Arabidopsis thaliana: one gene and its partners. The protein of the gene in region 3 interacts with the protein of the main gene of each other region in a pairwise test. Each region holds a gene or a part of one and is shown on either strand. Other genes may lie near its edges.

The links.
Region 1: the proteins of CASP (region 3) and PAP3 interact in a protein complementation assay, tested with the Arabidopsis thaliana proteins (one large-scale study listed by BioGRID).
Region 2: the proteins of CASP (region 3) and AT2G16595 interact in a protein complementation assay, tested with the Arabidopsis thaliana proteins (one large-scale study listed by BioGRID).
Region 4: the proteins of CASP (region 3) and WAK3 interact in a protein complementation assay, tested with the Arabidopsis thaliana proteins (one large-scale study listed by BioGRID).

What each region holds. Positions count from the first base shown.
Region 1 is NC_003070.9:5,056,579-5,061,653, reverse strand, and holds PAP3 (purple acid phosphatase 3), read right to left. Parts: upstream 3,072-5,075; 5' UTR 2,975-3,071; coding exon 2,687-2,974; exon of another isoform or gene 2,269-2,686; intron 2,182-2,268; coding exon 2,025-2,181; intron 1,929-2,024; coding exon 1,821-1,928; intron 1,725-1,820; coding exon 1,597-1,724; intron 1,294-1,596; coding exon 1,165-1,293; intron 1,071-1,164; coding exon 1,003-1,070; coding exon of another isoform or gene 999-1,002; exon of another isoform or gene 889-998; coding exon 666-888; 3' UTR 514-665; downstream 1-513.
Region 2 is NC_003071.7:7,196,429-7,200,896, reverse strand, and holds AT2G16595 (Translocon-associated protein (TRAP), alpha subunit), read right to left. Parts: upstream 2,771-4,468; 5' UTR 2,535-2,770; coding exon 2,471-2,534; intron 2,365-2,470; coding exon 2,212-2,364; intron 2,133-2,211; coding exon 2,082-2,132; intron 1,997-2,081; coding exon 1,911-1,996; intron 1,493-1,910; coding exon 1,415-1,492; intron 1,327-1,414; coding exon 1,123-1,326; intron 1,039-1,122; coding exon 967-1,038; intron 859-966; coding exon 811-858; 3' UTR 512-810; downstream 1-511. Other genes in the region: ROC3 (rotamase CYP 3), read right to left, coding at 1-35; AT2G16594 (Bifunctional inhibitor/lipid-transfer protein/seed storage 2S albumin superfamily protein), read right to left, coding at 2,815-3,123; AT2G16592 (Bifunctional inhibitor/lipid-transfer protein/seed storage 2S albumin superfamily protein), read right to left, coding at 4,321-4,468.
Region 3 is NC_003074.8:6,334,867-6,342,306, reverse strand, and holds CASP (CCAAT-displacement protein alternatively spliced product), read right to left. Parts: upstream 5,616-7,440; 5' UTR 5,384-5,615; coding exon 5,281-5,383; intron 4,881-5,280; coding exon 4,770-4,880; intron 4,651-4,769; coding exon 4,472-4,650; intron 4,390-4,471; coding exon 4,240-4,389; intron 4,017-4,239; coding exon 3,928-4,016; intron 3,841-3,927; coding exon 3,731-3,840; intron 3,612-3,730; coding exon 3,517-3,611; intron 3,420-3,516; coding exon 3,364-3,419; intron 3,265-3,363; coding exon 3,099-3,264; intron 2,982-3,098; coding exon 2,889-2,981; intron 2,757-2,888; coding exon 2,628-2,756; intron 2,505-2,627; coding exon 2,385-2,504; intron 2,265-2,384; coding exon 2,184-2,264; intron 1,756-2,183; coding exon 1,648-1,755; intron 1,546-1,647; coding exon 1,402-1,545; intron 1,313-1,401; coding exon 1,211-1,312; intron 1,121-1,210; coding exon 1,041-1,120; intron 954-1,040; coding exon 861-953; intron 772-860; coding exon 711-771; 3' UTR 519-710; and 1 more. Other genes in the region: ILR2 (iaa-leucine resistant 2), read left to right, coding at 1-389; AT3G18470 (PLAC8 family protein), read left to right, coding at 6,609-6,663, 6,774-6,845, 6,930-7,142, 7,246-7,307. UniProt on the Arabidopsis thaliana protein: May be involved in intra-Golgi transport.
Region 4 is NC_003070.9:7,432,310-7,437,343, reverse strand, and holds WAK3 (wall associated kinase 3), read right to left. Parts: upstream 3,110-5,034; 5' UTR 3,042-3,109; coding exon 2,165-3,041; intron 2,064-2,164; coding exon 1,905-2,063; intron 1,832-1,904; coding exon 642-1,831; 3' UTR 514-641; downstream 1-513. Other genes in the region: AT1G21245 (Protein kinase superfamily protein), read right to left, coding at 2-502; WAK5 (wall associated kinase 5), read right to left, coding at 4,998-5,034. UniProt on the Arabidopsis thaliana protein: Serine/threonine-protein kinase that may function as a signaling receptor of extracellular matrix component. Binding to pectin may have significance in the control of cell expansion, morphogenesis and development.

The DNA of each region.
Region 1 (5,075 bases), on a different chromosome or scaffold from region 3:
TAATAGAATGACTATTATATTTCTTTTGGGAGATAATTTTGGTATGAGCAAAAGTGTTCTTGCGATCAAATATGAGAGATCCGGGGCTTGTGAAATTATGTGACAGAATCTCATCCACAACATAGAGTTGTATATCATTTATCTTATCATATAATCCATAATTCACTATAACTTATCTATATATATTACATGATTGAAGAGAATCTGAGCACAGGACAAAAGACATGTAACAAAATCATTATCTATCTTTATAGATGAGAATCGGACCCATTTTGTGTCCCTACAAACTACACAAGAGTACTGTATGCACGCATGCTTCGGGAAAACTTGTTAATCAAATTGGATAAGAATAACGAAAATTAATTAACTTAATTAATATGGAAGCGTAAGAGAGGATGATATTTACATTTTAATATGCTTAGATTCGATATGTATATACAGTATATGCATGCAGTATTTCTAGTTAATCTCACATCTTACAAATTTTCAATAATATCTTGTTTGAAACTGTACTTTTACGCAATAAAGATTTCATTGACTTTTTTTTCTGATGCTGCTGATATGTTCTTGTCATATCATAATGTGATTCGAAAATTCGACGAAGTACGATATTGATAATTTCATAGTACATCGATCATAAACAATTACGTCCGATTAAATTGGAATCAAGAAGCGAAATAAAGCGCCTCCTTGTAAGTCTTCTTCCAATGATGCAGAACGTGTCCAAAAACATCATAAAAGACTACACGCAGTTCAGCTTCTGAAACGTGAACCGACATGAAACCTTGTCCGTCGTAGTAAAACCTCATCTCTTCTGGTTCAACGTAGTTCACGTCACCTCCTTTCCAGGCCTTGGATCCACCTCCACTTGTCATAAATTGTATGTTACTATATGCAACCAAAAATGGTGACATTTTATATCCTCCCGTACGTGGACCCTTACGTTACAATAATTGATTAATAAGAAAATAATTAACGAACAAATAAATAAATTTATTCTACCTGTCCACGCTGCTTATGTGCTCTAAGCAATGATCATGTCCGTTTACGTAGAGATCCACTTCATTTGCCTAGTAAATCGAGAACAAAAAAAACAGATTTAATTAGATAGATTTTTTCTATTGGTGCATAAACTTTATTATATGAATGGAATGGTTTTGTTACTTGGAGAATAGGTAAAAGGTGTTTCTCCAACTCAATGGTGTTCCCGTGGTGGCCTGCGCTTTTGATCGTATGGTGACCAATCACTATTTTCCACTTTGCGACTGACTCTCTCAACGCCACGTCGAGTTCCTATATTATTACATTATAGCTTTCGTTAGTCACTCGCTCGTAAAAAGAAAAAAAGTTGCATTGGCAGATTGTTCTCTAATCATATCGCATTACATACCTAATTAAAACGCGATTCCATTTGAAAATAGACAAAATAAAAGCTGCGTTTAACATCCAATCATAACTTTATAAAAAAATCCAATCATAACAAAAGAAAAAGGAATGTTTTGCCCAAAACACGTATATAATGACGTTCCTAAGTTAATATTAATTCTATTTCGACGAAAAAAGAAAGAAAGGAAGATTTACTTAAAAAATTGTTACCTTTAAGAGATTATTCAGATATGTTTGCCTAGGTAATACACCGCTCCAGTCATAAACATGCTTATTTGGTTGAATAAAGTATTTATCGACGAACGGAGTTGTGTCGACGAAGAACAAATCGACGATCTCTGTTCAGTTAACGAAATTAACAAAAATAAAAAAATAATTGGAGGATTAATAAAATATTTCTAACTTTTGAAGAAATATTATATAGGAGGAATTACCAGCATTTACAATGAAAGATCTCATGCAAACCCATCTGTTGTCCAGAGCTCTGAGCATAGGGCTAAGTTGTGCCCTGACGTCACCTCTATAATCATGATTTCCTAAAACTTTAGGTTAAAGAAAATGTAATTAACACATTGAACCACATATCGTTTAATAATTAAGATCCAACGACGAATGTACACATTGAACCACACATTTACCACTATACCAAGGTTTCTGCAAGCTCGGAGCGGTATAAATGTTGGTAAAAGAATCTTGAAATAGAGGATCGTGCAAGCTGGTTAAACCATTGTCGTAAAAATTATCTCCAGTAGAAATCACAAAATCGATATCTAATTTCTCTCCGATTTCTCCCATCTGTTTAAATTTCGTGTGAAATAATTTAGCATAAAATAACTAAAAACAACAGTATAAAAGAAAACATCAAACTAGCATAAAATTTACCACATTGAGTTCATCTGCAAAACAACAGTACAAACAAAAATCATATGTAGAATATCTTCGTACACTAAAGCTGTTTTCTTAACACAGACCGAATCTTTCAAGTTCCTCTAACATGACTTTCTTTCTTTTTATGGTATCTTATAACATGGTGTTCAAGAATTAGTAATATATATTGAAATTGAATAATAATAATAAAAAAAAGAAAAAAAAAGAATAATATAAAAACATAAGGGCCGGCATTAATATGAAGACCAGTAAATTTGATCCTCATATCACGTATGCTCTTGAAGGCATACGCATATATATGTTTACGTAATACGTATTAATTATACACTATTGAATTTGCATTATATATTTATATATATGCGTACAGGCGAGAAATATAGTAAATAACTTGTAAATGAAAATAAGAAGTAACCTGAAGAGCTACTTGGGACTGATTATAGGAGCCTCTTCTTCCCCAGTCTCCGATAACGAGAAAGCTCACTGTACCATCGGTTTTTGATGGCTGCAGTAGCCTGCGGAGCTCCGCCGTGGAACTATGGGAGGAGAATATAATAATCAAATTATAAACGTAAAATACCAAATTTACAGGTTTGTGTTTTAAGGTAGCCATTGAGAGATTAGAAAAGCAAAAGAGGAAGAAGATAAGGAAAGGAATGGTTGATTTTGTTGTGATCTTTGTGTCTCTATATATGTAGGTCATTTCGAGGTTGATAAATATGAATAAAAATTATTTGCCATTTTGAGAAATGTAGTCCATTTTTGTTTTCTATTTCAATCTTTTGATTTGTCAATTTTATTACAATAATTTGAATCGGTAATTTTTTTGTCACCCACTTTTTCAGATATTTATCAATAACGAAATATAATGACAAGATAAATTTAAATAAAATAAATAGCGGTTGAAAATTAGCTGTTGAAATATTTTAAACATAAAGAAATTGGATATTGACAGTTTAAGGATATTTGAAAATTTCTATTATCAGTGAAAATATACGTAAATTTCTACTACATTTTTATTTCTAACATTATACATAAACATATTATCTAAATTTGGATTATGACACATCAAACAACAGTATGCATACAAACTATTATTACACCGTGAATTCTGATCACACAAATTCTTTCTAAAATCGCATTTTAAAAACAAAATATACTTGAAAAAAATAGAAATAAAATTTACGAAGCTCGGGTATGTGCGTTGTCATACAAGAAGAGTAGAAGACAGCATAAACGCCCATGCCACAAATTTGTCGGAAATTGCAATTATTAGCTTTGAGTCACATTATTGATGTGAGTCTAACGAAAACTTCCAAATTCTCTCAATTATTGTTGACCGTTAGTTATTTTACAGTATAGTTCTGAACATAAAATAATGTGAATAGTTTACTAAATTCGTTCAACATATTAAAGAAAAATCAAAATCCCATTTATACAAAAATTTGAAAGTATATCCTTACTGGATATGAGAAAATAAATGCAAATGGGTTGGCCTATGTTATTGGGCCGATACCCATTTCTCTAATGAAAAGAAAGATCTATAAAAACAAACTTCTGCTTCTCGACTAGGACATTAATTCTGAGGTATGACTATGAAGGTATCATATTATTTTGTAATTCTTGGCCAAAACTTGTCACCTGTGTGTTTGTATGTTCTTACAAAAGAGAAAACTAATGAGCATTAACTTCTGCAACGTTTATTTTACATGTTTGGTCTTATTGCTGATTCAGTCTAGTTCGTCGAGTATTTTGAAAACAACTTGAGGAGTTAATCAAAAGAAACAAGCTTAATGTGGTATATATGTTCCTTACGACTATAGTTCCTATTAGTATGATGTAGTCAGCAAGATTGACTTATGATGACTATAGAAACTTCACTGAATATCTCTGGTGGTCCTAGACAGTCACAGTGTCCTACTGTATCTTTAGTTTGGTTCGCCAAGTCTAGTATCGGACCGTATAGATAGAGAGATGTCAATTGTGTTTATGTGTTTTTTTTTTCTCTCTGAAGCAAATTGATTGATCGATTTGTCAGCAATTCCTTTCGAGTCAAAAGTTTTGACCAACCAGCTTCTTCGTGAAACTCTCTAGCTGTATTCACACATACACACACACACCTAACAAAATTATTGAAACAGTGGGTTTGATGTAAAGCCTAAATCATTCAACCACCTCTCTCTATTTCTTTTTTGTTCTTTTTTTCTATGCAACATATGATTATATATTAGATCCATGTGATATTGCTTGAGTCTTTAATTTAAGGCTTTATAAATAGAACAAATATAGGCCTTTTTAGGTCAACACGTGTGTGTGGAAATGATGCTAATGCTTCCAAAATGAAACAGAATAATGTCGTCATGAGCTACTCATTTACAAGAGGATTGTTTTAGTGTTGGATTGGCTAATAGACTTGGATCGATATCTATAATATAGACCATATATATAATATGTTTAGCCTAAACAATGATATATATGTCATGTGACACTTATGTGTTTTAGCAATCACTAAAATAATGCAAACATTAATACATGTAGGTGAGTTGTGAGTTCAAATAATATTAGTCAATACTCAATAGTCACTGTAATTGATATTTTGAATGGCTTATCCTATGAAAATTTAGTACTTTCATAGAGAGAAAAAAAAAACAAATGTTAATCTAAAGACGACAATTTAGATTTTAGCAGTCGCACCAGAACTAGTACCAGGAAACATAAGATAATATATACAGGACTAGCTACTTCATTATCTTTACGTAGTTTATGACAAAGATTGTTGTATAATCTTCATCAGCTGACTTCTT
Region 2 (4,468 bases), on a different chromosome or scaffold from region 3:
GTCATGTCGAAGTAGACTTTAGGGTTTGTTGCCATTTCTTTTTTTCTCTGAGATTGATTGGAGAAGAAGATTAGGTTCTGTGATTGTGTGAAAGAGATTAGGGTTTTGGTAGTGTTTTATAAAGAGAAGGAAATGATTTTTGTGACCGTTGATTTTGACACGTGGAGGAAGATTGAAAGGGTTCGTGTTAACTGTGGTTAGTGTTGAATCTAACTAGGGTTAATAGTTGCGTGGATCCGAGGCAGAGAGAGAATATTGTGTTTTTTTTTTCTCTACCTTTTTACTGGATAAGATATTAAGTAGTCGTTTCATTGATTTATTTACGGGCCAGGAATATTAAGCCCAATGTCGTAAAAAGAAGCCCATTGGTTTGGAGATAAATAAGAGTTCCGATAATGTACATGTACTTAGCCCAAACCACTCTTAAATAATTGTAGAGACTGAGAGGATTAGCTTCATAGAGCATCATAATAGTCTAATGACACAACTCTCATATTTTAAACCTTGGATTATACGATATAATTTCCAAATACAAAATTTCAACCTATATTGTTAATCTAATGATTATTCAACTTTTCTTTACTATATACATGAACTTTCGAAAGAGAATTATCATTTTAAACAAAAGAAAATAATCTTGACAAATTACAAAAGTTAAAGAAAATTGTTTCCTTGCAACATCTATAGCTAGAGAGAGTAAAGAAAGCATTACAGATTCTGTGAAGTTATCTCTACCAACAACTGCAACGTTACTATCGTTCGTGTGTTTTCGGTTTCTTATCTCAAGCCCCCTAACAAAGCGTGTGAGATCTACTTCTTCTTCTTTGACTTACTCGAAGATTGAGTGTACGAAGTACCCTGCATTACACAATACATTGAGAGCAATGTATCAATACCAAAATGTTCAATACATTAAAAGTTAAAACCCATTATGGAGAAAGTTATTAGGTCTTGTGCAACGAATACCTCAAGCCATTCATCATGCGAAGCATCTTTAGTTGCGGTTCCAACTTCAACTTTTGGTGCTCTCTTTGTTTTCTGCGCAAAGCATTTTCACAGTAACCATTCTCAAAGTTAGTACCATGGAATGAAAGTGCGATAAGATAGCGAAATAGGATGTACCTTGGTCATATGCTTCAAAACATTTTGGATATAGATGGCGAGAAAAGCGATAACAAAGATTAAAAGACCACTAAGGAAGACTGACTCCATTCTGAAGAGAGGACCATCTTCAACAACTTCAATAGTTCCATTATAAAAGATGCTTTGGTATGGCTTACCATCTATCTCATAGATGATGGTGCCAACAAAATCAAAAGCACCCGCCTGCACGAGCAAATGGTTACCTCGGATTCTATTCTATATTTTAATGTCATCTTGGAGACTAGAAGAACTATATGATTAACAAACATACCTGCAGGAACTTGCTGACAGCAAAAGCATATGGCAAGGTAGCTTGAGCGGAAGTTGGCACAGACGCGTTGCTGAAACTCTACATTTAGATGATTCGACAAAATGACCAAATAATAAGTAGCAAACTTAAAGAGCAAAGGCCAGAAAAGGAAAAGAGGAGAAAACTCTATATTCAGCAAAAGCCATTGTAAGATTCTATATCTAGAAATGAAATGGAATATAGCTAGAGCCAAAGCAAGTATCTGGTATCAAAACATAAATGATAAAGATTAAAGGCTAGAGAGAGACTTTCTTGCATTTAGATACAGGGATGTAACAAGTTCAGGTATTGTTACTAAACCATGAATGACCTAACAAAGAGTGCATAGTGTGGAGTAACATGAGATGAGACAAAACAGGCAATGAAAAGAACCTAACAAAGGGAAAAACTAATATGGAAAGACAAGTGAGATCACACAAGCAATAAATGTGAGAAGAAGCAAAAGATGATTAATTACCAGAGCAGTGAGATTCTGAACAGCATTTTGATCAAAAGGAAGATGTAAACTGCCTTTAACAGCAACAATATCTACATTGGATTGACCTATTCATATAACCCAACCACAAAGTTAGAAACTTTATAGCTAACTTTGCAAGTAATCATTTGATAGAAAAATCACTTTCATTACCATCATTTTTCATTCCAACAAGCAGCTCAGTCTCAACTCCAGCTTTTATTACTACAGAAAATCAGACAAACCAAATTGAGAAGAAGCCTAATTTCAGAAATTAGATTAAAAACAGAGTAAAAATCTGTACTTTTTGCACTGTTCTTGGGGAAAACGCAAAGGGTTTCAATTCCAGGAGCTGAGGTAAGTTCCAAACCAAAAACTTCCTCTGCATCACTCTCTTCTTCACCAACATCAGAAACTTCGAAGCCAGAATCTTCCGAATCCGATTGGCACAAAGCAACTAAAAACAAACAAAACCCATCACAATGAATTCAAACAAAGATCATGTGAACAAAAACAGAGTAGAATCAGCAAATGAATGAACAAGTAGAAGAGAAAGGTGTTACCTTTGAGAAAAGGTGAGACAAGTAGAAGGAAAGCGAAGAAGAGAAGTCTAAAACTTGTCCTCATGATGGTTTTGAGATTGGTTTAGTTGAATTGATCTTCGTGGGTTGAAGTAAAAGGGCGAAGAAAGCAAGAAGACAGAGGTGCTTTTGTCTTTTGACGTGTTTATGCTTTCTTCACCGACGTTGACGAAGAACGACATATGAATGTGAGTGTGTGTGCAGATCGGATTTTGTAAACGACGTCGTTTTCCGACTTACCAATTTAGAAACACCTTGCCCATAGGTGTTATAACATTTTAGTACAAAGTGTCATAATTATGGCCGAGGAACATAACCTATAACCCCTATATTTTTGGACAATTGGGGACAGAAATATGGCAAAACCAGAATATTCTATGAGCAGCTGCGTTTAGATTCTGTTCCTTGGCCGTAAGGAATCTACACATGCATGATGTTGACTTTTTCATTTTCTCACAACAGCCTTTAGGCAGTTTGCCTCCGTGACCGTTAACTAGAAAAGGTTGGACGCAAGCTAGAAGATCCAGATTGCAAAATGGTAGCTCTTTTTTTGCACCAACGACTTTGATCGGAGAAGGAAATGATGCTAAGATCATCATGATGATGGCTATGAGTATCCATGGACTGATCTTCATTGCTAATGTATTAGTAACTCGAAATTACAATCAAAATAAGATGAGTTTACTTTGTAGAAATTAATAATCTTTGTTTTCTTCATTTTTTAGATGTCTTTAAATAGAAAATTGAGAAACAAAACAATATGGGAAGTCGGAGAGATGGAAGGATGGTTGTCCTATTGTTAGCTCTGTTTATGTGGAGTTTTATTCATTAAGGAGCTCGTCACGTGTCGTCAGCTGCTCCACTATCTCCTAGATATAGGACCCCATGTTCGGTCCCGAACTATACCATATGAAAGTATAAACTAGTATAGACTTGGATGACCAAAGTTGAGTCAATTATAATACATGGTGAAGTATGTATACTAGAAAGCAAATTCTACAAAACTCAAATAGACAGGAATAATAACTTAAATCCATTCACAAAATATCTGCTTGAAGTAGAACTTTGAACCATCTTGAATGGAAAGTAGAATAGAATTGAGGCAGCCACGGGATATCCACCAATGGTTTGATCCACAGAATCTAAGGTTCGAAGCTTGAATGGTCGGATGGATGAAGGTAGTGATGGGGATGGAAGTTTTGAATGAATCCACACTCACCATAAAATTTAACAAATAGATTGCTACTTTAGTTGTGTTATACAACTGTACGGCTTCTCACAACATCGTATATATGTACGAATGTATTTTAGAATACTGCCTTTGAGGAAAAGTGAGGCAAGGAGAAGGAAAGCAAAGAAAAAATGTATGATCCTTGTCGTCATGATGGTTTTCAGATTGGTCTTAAATTGATAGTGGTGGGTTGAGGGCGAAGAACGCAAGAAGACAAAGGTGGTTTTGTCTTTTTGACGTGTTTAATGCTTTTGGTGTTGACGAAACGACTTCGTTTTCACTTGTCAATTTAGAAACAGATATTACTAGCAGAGATCGATAACTCGACTTTTAAGGTACCCTGGAAAATGCTAAAAAGTCACAGGATCAAGTGATATCTGGAACACGTAAAATGTCACAGGATCATGTTTCTGTGTGTTAGTTACAAAGGTGGATAAAGTATTAATAATAATTTTCGCTTAAATGGTTATATGTTTCTTAAATGGTTGTGTATTGAAGCTCAACTTGTGTCTCTCGAGCTTCAATCAATCATGTCGTAGATATAGTCGAGGAACATAACTTATGTATAAAATAAATTAAGAAAAAACCATAACCTATATCTCTAGATTTTTGGACAATTAGGGACGGAAATTTTGCAAAACCAGAATATTCTATGAGCAGCTGCGTTCAGGTCACGTTCCTTGGCCATTAGGAATCTACACATACATGATGTTGACTTTTTCATTTTCTCACAACAGCCATTAGGCAGT
Region 3 (7,440 bases):
CTGCATCCTTTGAAGGATCCGGCACCCTTGCTGACTGCTCTCCACATGGGTTGGTTGCTAACCAAGTCATGGTCGTTCTCTCTACCCCGGAACATCTTCCAGAATCACCAAATTGTATTGCTGATAAGCGTGCAACCTATGAGTTCGGTTACCAGCTCAAAAGCACAGTTCGCAACCTCCCTCCCCTTGCGGAAGCACTTGCCGCCTTCTCTCAGACATATATCAGGATGTTTCCTAACCATCCCTTCTTCGGGACGTTTGGGTCGAAAACTCTTGATCATGGCCCGTTCTGGAAAATAAGGCCTATTGGCTCCAGCCTTACCGATAACAGCTCCTACCTCACTATCCCATCGATTGTCAAGCAAGCATTCAAAGGCCCAGCCACGTAGGTGTTGTTGCCTAACAGATATCAAGCAACGACTTTCATTTTATTTTATTTTGTATTTGGATAGCAACAATTATTCCTGTCGGATTTGTTATCGTTTTGGTGCATTTTTCATGGTTATTTATGTTTCGAAGAAAAGTAAACCAGATCTTATTTAGATTTCTGCAGTTTTCTGAAGGAAGTTTTTTCTGTGGCTTTATATATGTATCGAGTGATTTGGATCCCTCTGTACAAATATTCAACCGTTTTAGAATTGCCCACGGAACACTACAAGGACAAGAAAGAACATAACGACCAAAAACGAATAAGTCCCTAGGGTGAGAGCTTAAAGACCGTGAGGAAGGTTTGTGGTTGCTTCTGTCATTAGAGTCTCCTCTGCTCCATGGCTAAACCATAAATAAAGAAGAAGAAATTAAATAAAATCAATCACATAATGGACTTGTAACAAAAACAAAAATTGGTGGGTTTGTTTTACCTGAGATAACTGTAAGCAGACATACGGTAGAGACAAGTGAAGACAAGGACGTGCAATCCTATTGTGTAGAAGAAAGCAAATGTCCTTGCGTATCTGAAAGATCCAATCATGAAATTGAAAATAACCGAAAATTCTGTGATCGAGTATGAATGTGAATAAACTTGAGAGCAAGAGGATTACTTGTTTCCTAGAAGGAACCGCCCACTGCTTAGCGTAATCCGATCTCTGATTCCCAAATCTTTGATCCGTTGCTCTCTTTCCTATCAAACACATATAAATAGGAAAGGGTTAATGTTTAGGAAAGAAATATAAGGCTTGTGTCGATGATAGCAGAATGTTTTATTTTTTACCTTTTTCGAGAATGCTGCAAAAGGGTTGATGTCATCTTCGTAAATTTTCTTGTATTTTGATTCGACATCCGAGCTGAATCCACTTTCAAGATCTTCCACATACTGAGATTGGAAAACGATATCAACCATGGAAAAAACCCGATCACGAGACAGAAAAGGTTCAAGGGAAATGTATCGCAGAAAACAAATACCTTTTTCGATCCTCGGGAAACAACTTTATCATGGTTATAGTCTTGGACATAACGGATTTTCCCATAGAGTTTGACGTTGTCTGCTTTGGTCTTCTCCAATTCGTCTGTGAGAAAACCTATCTTCTCTTTTAATCGCCTTATTTCCTGCAATGTTAAGAGAACACATAAAATTCAGTTCAAATAAATTTAACTGGAGATAGAGAATACAGAGGGAAGAGGATCATTTATATGTACAACTAACTGTACCTCTTCTGTTTCCCGTAATCGTGCTCGGAACCGATCTCTTTGGCTGCAGATAACTTTTAGCATTGAGCTTTGATCTTGCTCTGATGGAACATGTTTCTGATCCATAGGCTAATAAAAGGAAACACAAAATGATAAAGAGCAGTAGTTAGTGATAAGTCTAATTGTGAGGTATATAATATACCATATCATGGAAATACCCTTAGTTGTATGAAAACTTTTTAATGGTTTGACAAGAAGTTCAGAGGTATTTTGCTTTTGAAAAAAAAATAGATCATGGTAAAATATATACGTACCACGATTCCCTAGCAATATTTTAATTCACGCCATAAATAGAAGGCAGAGTGAGCATACATGTTAGACCGTTAAGATTATCTAGTAGAGAACTTAAAGCGATAGGTTACTGTTTATCTAACTCTTAGTTCTGAACGATTCCATCCTTTCTTTTACTTTTGGGAAAATTTTCCTGCTTTAAGAGTATTGCATGATAAATTACACGACTCATTGACTCATATATGCACAGGGCCAGAGAGAAGTACCTCAGACTGCTCAGCCACACCTGCTTCTGAGAACTCCCATTCATCAAATAGAGCACCTTTTCGCTCTTTTGAACCGTAACCCTGTGTAACAAGTAAATAAGGTTTCAGTATAATCAAAGACTTTGATCGAGTTTCTCCTCCTTAGTAGCAGTAGCACAGATACCTTTTAACTTAAAATGGTAACTACACACTCTTACGTACCTTCAAAATATCATCCTCCAACTTTTGTATCAGTCTTTGTTGTTCATTAACCTTAGCTGTCAGTTCTTCTCCCTTGGCTTCAGCCTTCTCAAGCAAGGAAGCTTTCTCAGAAAGTTGAACCTGGGAAAAGAAGTGGTGTGAATCGACCAGTGACTTTACTTGTGTATGTTCACTGAAAAGGGAAAGAGTAACGAAAAGACAGAATTACAGATGGTGGTGGTTCATTCCGTAGAGGTCATGTACCTTTAACTGAGTGACCTCATGTTCCATTTTTCTGTTTTTATCAAGAAGAAGCGACTCCATTTTGCTCATCTCTTCACCAGTGGTAGCAGCATCCCAGTCTTCAGCCTCAATTGAATTGTAACCTACAGCCTAATATGCAACAATGATATTACTACATACGATCGTACCGTTACCAGAAAGAACAAGGTATGGATCTGTGGCAAGAAGTTAATAAGAAGTTAAACTAAGTGAGCACCAAAAAACACTTGAAATGATGAATACCTGCAGAATTTTCACTTTTTTGCGCAAATCATCAACTAATTTTGCTGATGGTCTTTCTTGAAGCTCTTTCTTCATCTCTTCAATGATAGTATCCTGGTTTAATACCAAATGACGGTAAGCTAATATTAGACATTGAAGGGACCGGAAACTAATTTTCAGAACAAAATATAATTTCTCAGCATAAAAGACAAAACATAGCACAAATTTCACCTTTTTATTGAGCAAAGAATTCAATTTCTTTATCTCGGCAACATGACTTTCTCGCTCATTAGCTAAAGCTGTCTCAACATTGTGAATCTCCATATTAAGCTCCGAAATAATCTTCTCTTTTGCAGTTAACGAGTTCTCCAGCATACTATTCGAATCAATATTATCACTGTAGAGAAAGAGCATAACAAAAAAATTAAAACAAAGCAAAAACTTAGATAAAAGTTATTTGACTCCTTGTTATATGGACGCATAAGTGTCACCTCACCTTTTCTTGTTATCAGTATCTTCATTAGCTGTTTGCAGCTGAGAACGCAGATGTCCCTGTTACAAACCAATAAACAAAATTAGAGAGCTAAAAACGGTGGTTTATCTTAGGGCATTCCCTTAATTCAAACAAAGAGAGCATGATATGAAAGACCTTTTCCCTCTCAAGAGTAAGGAGTCGGGTCTGAGCACGCTCCACTTCATCCATCAATAGACTAACTTCAGATTGCTTCCCCGCGGTCTCTTCGTCTGATGGTTTAGACAAAGGTGACATATATTAACAAGACAAGAAGGAACAATATGTAAGGGAGACCATTCCAATTATGAAAGCACAATATGAGTCACCATATTAAGGCTCAATGCACCACCTGATTGAGCACGGAGTTCAAAAAGTTGGTTCTGTGCTAACTCATGCAATTTTTGCATAGTGGAGACGCTGTCTTTTGCTTGCCTTAACTGATCTTGCAAAGCTTGCTCCCTGTTAAACAGTGAACAAGGAAAGGTTGGTGCTTCCTCGAAAACTTTCTAAACACCCAAAGCATGCAGAAGAGAATTTTTTTTTTACCTATCCTTTAAAAGCTCCATCGTTTTCTGGTTTTCCTCAGCCAGATTTCGTTGCTTGATCTCAACAACTTCTTTGATTTTTTCTTCCATCTGAATCCAAATATAACAACTCGATATCACTGCTAATCTTCGACAGTTATTCGTTACAAGATCACAAAATAGCATCTCTATATAAATCATGCTTATGGCTCAGTGTATAAATTTGCATTTGACCTCCTAGAATAGACTGAAAAATAATCAAGGAAGCTGTGCTTTACATTCATTTAGTTTTATCCCTATATCAATTAGAAGAAGAGGTTAAAAGCAAGCTGACCTGTTGCTCAAGCTGGCGGTTCCGTTCTTCAAGCCTTCTTATTGTGGCCTGCTGATTTTTAAGATGAGTCGCTTCTGTCCTAAACTCCTCAAGTTCAACTTTCATCTTTCGATTTTCAGATTCCACTTCAGATAATTTACGATCTTGCTCCTGGAATACAGCAATTAGTTGGTTCTCAGGCTAAAGGACTTTAGGTGTCTATTATGTTAACATTAGATAAGTGGATAATTACAGCAATAGAAGCAAGAGCAGGAAACGGATCAGGTGCTTCATAGAGTTTCTGATAGATATTTAGGAAAGCATTCTCCCCAAACTTGGCCCTCTTGGTAATATTATCTACTTCTTCTTGATATCCCTTGAGGAGGGAATTAAACATACTAAGTTTGTTCTCAGGCGAAGCTTTCTTGAAGTCTGTTGTTACCAAGATAAACCAAAGAATATGTTAACATCTCTTCGCTGGAACCTATCGAGGTCCCTCAGGAGAAAATGTTGAAGTGTTAAGCAATATAAAAGGTGAAACAAAAAAGTACCTCGTGTGCTCTCTGCAAGCTTTCGGCGATTCTTTTGGCTGTTTTCTTGATTTTCAGCTATTCTAAGCCCTTGCTCGTCAAGCAGGCTTTTCTCCTTCTCCAAATCAAATTCTGCAACAAGTAGTTTAAAGACAAGTAAATGGATCATTCGGGAAGAGCTTTCTTCTATGATGATGTCTATCAAAACAGCGAGCAACCACAGAACCAGTTCTCTAATTGAAACTGGTTTCGTATAACAAATACAAAAGCCGGAGAATCGAGATGAAACTAGTTATCAGTACTGAAAAATGTGTTGATAACTTTTAAAGCAATAAACTGAAATTTCTCAATCCGATCACATTAAACTACCAATGCAATCTCCCCGAACATTCAGTGAGAATCTCATTAAGTCTTACTACTTAAACGGAATCCTAACAAACGAATTTCTCCTAACTACAAAAACAAGCTCATCCTCAGCTTCACTACGAGTCGAAGAAAACGAATAGATAGCTAGACATAATCTGAAACAAACCTTTCCAGAAATTGGTGACGACAGGAATGGGAGAGGAAGAAGAAGAAGAAGAGGAAGGAGGAGGAGTTTTATCTCTTTCCGATCCATCTTGCGAAACCTCCATTGTACTCGTATTCGGATCCCGATCTCGTTTCTCCGAAGAACACAAGCAATACTTCGATACGAAGAAAGTTTCTGGGAAGTGATTTCTTCTTCGAATCCGACGAATGAATTAATGAGTTTTCTTATTGTTGTTTTGTTGAATTTTTACTACTCCGATCGGATCTTCTGAGTTCAGATACATTAGAGTTTAATGGTGGTAGAAGCGTAATTCTTATTTATTTTTTTGTTATGAGTGTGATCCTAAACAGGCTTCAAAAACGTAAGGTCCAAAAGATATAGAATAACCAATGGGCTATTCCTTGCGCCATTCATAGGCCCAGTATTGATTTAGTAGAATAAATTCATGTTTATTGCACATCTAAGTTGAAAACATTTGTCAAATTTTGTTATGACTATTATTAATTAATAAAATTTTAAGTTTAAATTCTAATTTATTTCACTGGTTAGAAAATTTTAAAAGTTTATTTTTTTTCCTTCAGTTCTTTTCTTTGTAATTTGTTAGTATTAAGTAATATTACTTTACTAATAAAACCAGAATATTACATTAGATATATTTTTCAAAATTTTATTTTAAAGTTTGCAAGTTTGATTCCTTATATAGAGGAATAATGTTTGAACATATTATCTCTTATCTACAAATAATTTTAATAGAAATTTTATGAATAGAAAAATGTTGAATTTAATATTTTAAAATTTAGCATAGCCTGTTTTATTTTACTTTCGCATTTTTAGGATGTATATTTCTTTTTTATTCATAATTTCTTTAATTTTCTTAGTCATTAAATTAAATTCTTTGTATCTTGTATATATGTGTGGATTAAACCAATCCCAAAAACGCGTTTACATATTACTTTTAAGTAGCTTAAAATCTCTCACAATCAGTAAAATCTCTCACCTTCCTTAAACAAAAATCAATTTTCAAAAAACCTTCCTCCTTTTAACAAAAAGTGCAACGTACTAGTTTTAAAAGTCTTTTACTCTTTTTTACAACTTTTATGATTTTTCCCAAAGTGCAATGTACTAAAAATTAAACATTTGTAGATCTCTCGAAGCGATCCACCATCAACCATATATATACCCACCCACCCTCCATTCTTAAAGCATCTAACAACAAAAATCTATCTTCAAAACCCTAATTAATTGATTTACGATCTCGCTTATCAAAAGATCGATCAACACAAAACTGGTTAAAACCTGACGCAAGATTTGGTTGAAGCTACTTTACAATGGAAAAGCAATGGACTTCTGGTCTTTTCAGCTGCATGGAAGACAGTGAAACTGGTAGAAATTCTATATAAATTTAATCAAGTTGTCCTTTAATCTTTATACATATATAGATCTATTGTCAGGATTGTATAATGATTTGTTCCTTTTGGTTTGTGCTGGATAAGCTTGCCTCACATGTTTCTGCCCATGCGTCACTTTCGGACGGATCGCGGACATTTCCGACGAAGGAAGGACCGGTAAGCCATACATTCACATATGTCATATCTAAACAATGTGTGTGTGTGTGAATTCACGTAACGTCGTATATATAATGTACGTAGGTTGTGGGAGATGTGGGGTATTTTACGGGCTAATATGTTGTGTGGTCGGCTTACCTTGCTTGTTCTCATGCACTTACCGGACCAAGATCCGAAGCAAATTCGGGTTACCGGAGTCTCCAACTTCGGATTGCGTCACTCACTTCTTTTGTGAATGTTGTGCTCTTTGCCAAGAACACCGTGAACTCAAAACCCGTGGTCTTGACCCCTCTATTGGTAAATTGCATTGTTTTGTGGACTCACTTTCTATTGAAATAATTAGTGTCTTTCATACGTTTGATTAATTATTTGATGTAACTTTATTATTTTTATGTGATAGGGTGGAGTGGAAATATGCAACGGACGATGGCTCCTCCTATGAGTCAGCAGATGATGGGTTGATTAAGAAGATTTCTGATTTGCAATATGATTTGAATTAAATAAGTGGTTCACGAAAACAGCACTTTTAAGTGTAGTTTTATATTGAGCTAGCATATTATTTTAAATTCTTTTTCAGATTTTATCAATATTGTTT
Region 4 (5,034 bases), on a different chromosome or scaffold from region 3:
ATCAGCGGCCAGCTTCAATGTCAAGCAATGCTACATTCTTGACGCTGTCATAACCACGGCTATTGGTATCGCCTTGGGAAGACACGATGTTGCTACCAAGCAAGTGTAAATTCTCCTCTCGATACTGATCCGACCAATTATGTTTGGTTGTTTTGACGCTCAAAGTTTCTAGCTCTACAGCTACTTCTTTCATCCTTGGCCTTTCTTTTCCCATTAGCCTTGTACACTCTGCAGCAATTCTTGCAGCTTCCTGGATCTCCTTCAGATTATCCTCGTTCAACACTTGGTCGTCAATAATCTCATGCAACCTATTCTCTTCCGTGGCAGAAACAAAGTAACTCACCAAATGTTTTGAAGCCTGTGGCCGTTCAAAGCACAATGCCTTTTGACCTGAGAGCAGTTCCATGAGGACTACCCCAAAGCTATACACATCGCTCTTCTCGTTCAGAAGCCCTGTGGTATAGTATTCTGGGTCTAAATAGCCTAGAGTGCCTTGCACCATAGTATACCAAGTAAAGGAAAATATGAACATGATTATTGATGATGAACAAACAAGCTCTCAAAGCATATTGATGAAGCAACAAATAAGTGGTTTTCTTTTTTTACAAACAAAAGAGATACATGTGATTTTGTGAGCAATATCAGCGGCCAGTTTCAATGTCCAATATTGCTACATTTTTGATGCTATCATAGCCAATGCTGCTACTGGTTTCGCCTTGTGCAGACAAGATGTGACCACCAATCAAGTGTTCATTCTCCTCAGGATACTGATCCGACCACTTATGTTTGGTTTTCTCGACCCTCAAGGCTTCTAGCTTTGCAGCTACTTCTTTCATCCTTGGCCTTTCCTCTCCCATTAGCCTTGTACACTCTGCAGCAATTCTTGCAGCTTCCTGGATCTCCTTCAGATTATCCTCGTTCAACACTTGGTCGTCAATAATCTCATGCAACCTATTCTCTTCCGTGGCAGAAACAAAGTAACTCACCAAATGTTTTGAAGCCTGTGGCCGTTCAAAGCACAATGCCTTTTGACCTGAGAGCAGTTCCATGAGGACTACCCCAAAGCTATACACATCGCTCTTCTCGTTCAGAAGCCCTGTGGTATAGTATTCTGGGTCTAAATAGCCTAGAGTGCCTTGCACCATAGTTGTGAGCTGCTCTTTATCCATTGGTATAAGCTTAGAAGCGCCAAAGTCGGCTACTTTTGCAGTTAAGTTTTCATCCAAGAGAATATTTGCAGTTTTGATATCGCGATGGATGATTGGAATAGAAGCAGAGGAGTGAAGATAAGCAAGAGTTCCAGCGACTTCTATCGCTATTCTGAGGCGGTGTTCCCATGTAAGAGAAGAATCAAAAATGGAACCGTGCAAGTGATCGAAAAGGGTGCCATTGGTAATGAATTCATAGACCAACAAGGGGACTTCAGTCTCTAGACAGCAACCCAAGATCTTGACCACGTTCCTGTGGTTAATTTGTGAAAGCACGAGCACTTCGTGGATGAACTGATCTACTTGTCTACTGTCTGCAAGCCGAGCTTTCTTTATAGCAACGATAGTGTTGTCCGGCAATATCCCTTTGTAGACTGTTCCTTGACCTCCCTGGCCCAAGATTCTGCTCTCATCATAGCCATTAGTTGCCTCTTTCATGCCTTCCTCAGTAAAGATTTTGAAATCAATGTTTGACAACCCTGCTCCTGAAAGTCGCTGTATCAACATGCCACCACCATTTTGCTCAAAGAATTGTCGTCGGAGCTTGGTATACTTCCTTTGCTTCGTTGCATGTTGTATACAGATCGCAGCAAGCAGGAGGACCAAGACGCCGATTATGATTACTGATAACATCATGCATAGATGATTAGAGCGAGTTGATTTAAAGAGAATCTAGAACCAGTGAAGAGTGTTTACCAAGAAAAATTCGAGTCCGTTTGTATTCGGGCCTCGTGCAGCTCATACTGGAGTTTAAGTCGTAACCAGATGGACACTTACAATCGAAGCCTCCATCCCTGTTTCTACAGGTTTTTGGATCCGAACAGTTATGTGTATCACTAATACACTCATCGATGTCTGACCAAAGGAATAAGTGCACAAGATGCAACCAAAAACGTATGAGGAAGATTATAAACACTCAAAAGAAGAAAGAAAGCAAAGAAATTAATATGAAGTACCTTTGCAACCCTCTGAACGGTATGGATTCCCATCATAACCTTCATTACATTTGCAGATATACCCGTTTCTAGTAGTAGAATTGTAACATGAGCTGTTCTTACCGCATATTCTTGTGCTTCCAGCTTGCTCACATGTCTGGTTTCCAATAGACCAATCTAGTGCCACAGGGAACCTCGTGACATTCCTCAGATTCTTAAGATCTTTTGAAGAATCGAAGTTAAACTTACCATCTTCAACGAGAAAAGCGTAGGTGCAAGGATTAAACTGATATACCGAAGTATTAAATAGATCTAAGGAATTATTAACTTGGTTTCTCAAGCGAACTGAGCCAAATTGGAATGTATCGCTATCGAACGGGACAGAGAAGTCCTCTGTTGTGCAGCAACCTACACCATTACATCTTCCATTTGCCTCTGGTTGAGAATTGCATAATGACAAGCATCCAGTTGAGTAGTTTTGCTTTCCAAAAGTGCTCAAAAGTGATAAAGCGTTACATCCTACTAAAGTAAACTTGTTGTTGGAGGAGAGAGAGAAACTACTACCCAGCTGATACCCGAGGGCAGTTCCATTAGTCTCATTTTTCTGCTCGTAGCATTCAGAGAATCGTTCAAACAGTACACTTACATGGCCACTGTGAGAAATATTGGTCACTTGAATGATGCCAAAGAGTAGTAGCTTCTCTTCCACGACACAGGTGAGATTGAAATTATCATCTCCGGGATAGTAACAACCTGTAGAAATACCAAAAGGGTACTCTATTGTGACGTTTCCACATTTAAGTTTACAATCTTCGCGAGGTTGATGTTGCCCCTTCACAAGCTGAGTATATGCAAGGAAGAAAATAACCACCAAGAACACACCCTCCTGGAACTTCATCTTCTACCTTTCTCTTTCTTTCTCTCTAAACTTGTTTCTCTTTGAGTTTTCTCTCATCGCTTATTCGCTTCTTATAGCTTGAAAAGTAACCCCTGATTTGACATTGTTGAATAATCAAATGTGAAGAAAAGTAAAGATTCAGACTACTAGACGTTAGAAAAATATAAATGCGTCAACTTCTTTATCTGTCCTTTCTTTCTTGTCTTGATTTTTCCAGGAAACTCCAATTTATTGTTCATATATGAAAGTCTCGTTATAGTGACAATGTAGGAATAAGACTCATCATGATCACAACATGCTCTGTTTTCTTCTGCTGTCGTAATAGTAGAAATATGTAGTTTTTTTGTGTGTGTGTGTGTGTTGAGTTTATAAATGTCAACAAGTTTTCGAAGAATTTGAATAGTTCTTGCCTCATGTGTCATGTCGCTGCTTACTCTTCAAGAGGTTATCTATGAGAAATTTCCATGCAAATCCACCACTTTGTTAGAAACTGAATCTCCTTCTAGAAACAGAACAGAGTTAAGAACAGAGAAAGAGAATCAGACTTTGTATCACAATTGGTTTGATCGTCAACATAACAATAAAGAGAAGAACTTGTCTTTCTATTATAGAGAAAGTGAAATACAACAACTGTTTTACAAGGTTTACAACAATTAACTTAAATACAAACCAACAGACATGAAAAGTCAAGAGTTATGACTCTTCTTTCTTGTGACACAACAAACATAACTACTTTAACTTAACAGACACGACACTTAAGTAATATATTACAAACCAAACTCAATTACGACCAGCACTCTTTCACCGAAAGAAACCAGATTCATTCAAAGAAACTGAGGGAAAATCTTGAGAAAAAACTGAAAATACACTGTTTGATGATTAAAATAATCTTTGACAGACCAGACTTAGAGATTTTAAGGGTATAGTAGAGGTAGCTTTCTCAATTTACTAAAGATCAGAGTTTTAACAAAAAAGGAAAATTTGATGGTTACAAAACCACAACAATCTTATGCAGCAAGAATGATAATTTAATTTAGAAAACGCAGTATTAAAATTTTAATAACAGAGCAATATATGAGTCAAGTTGTTTATCAAATAGTCAAGTTGTTCTTTCATACTTTCAAAGCCTTGTATCAAAAACGTTATTTTTCTTGAATATAATTTAACATTACATTCAAAAAAAAAAAAAAAAAAAAAATGTCAAGTTGTTCTTTTGGAGTTACGTACATACCACGCATCTTAAGTTAGAGATTTCTCGTTTACTAGTTTTTACTTCTCATGTAGTTGTGCATATGTTTGTTTATTACTGATCTAATTCCAAAATCATATGTTAACTTGTTTACATTTTTGTCTTCGTCTTGTTGCTCGTGGATATATATAATTGCATCTTTGTAATCATTTCATCATAATATCGATCACGTTGACGGAGAGTGCTTTTCTAGAATCCACCAAATTTTCTCATGTTTTCACTATATATATTACTTATGGTTAAAGATCATAAATTTTTAACAAAATAAGAAAACTTGATGGCTTCAAAACCAGAGCAATCTTATGCAGCAAGAATGATTTTGTTAATTTAGAAAACGCAGTATTAAATTATAGATGCCAGTACCAAAACAATATATGAGTCAAGCTGTGGATCAAATAGGATGTTTTAAGCAACTGAGCCCTTTAAATTCGAGTTATTGTTTTGCAACCACAACAGTATATCAATATCTCTGCTAGTAGATTCATGAATTCTTAATTTTTCTCATACCGAATCGTCTACTGGTTAGCTTACCAATCGAATGGAGTTATAAAATGAATAATTGATGATCTACAACGGATCTCTCGAGCATAAATGTTCTTGAATATCATGTTTTGATACTCTGTTTTTTTTGAAGTGTTAGGAAACATATAGGACATAAGCAATAAATAAGTGGCTTTACTTTTTCACAAACAAAAGATTGATAAATATCAGCGGCCAGTTTCAATGTCCAACCTTGTTACATTC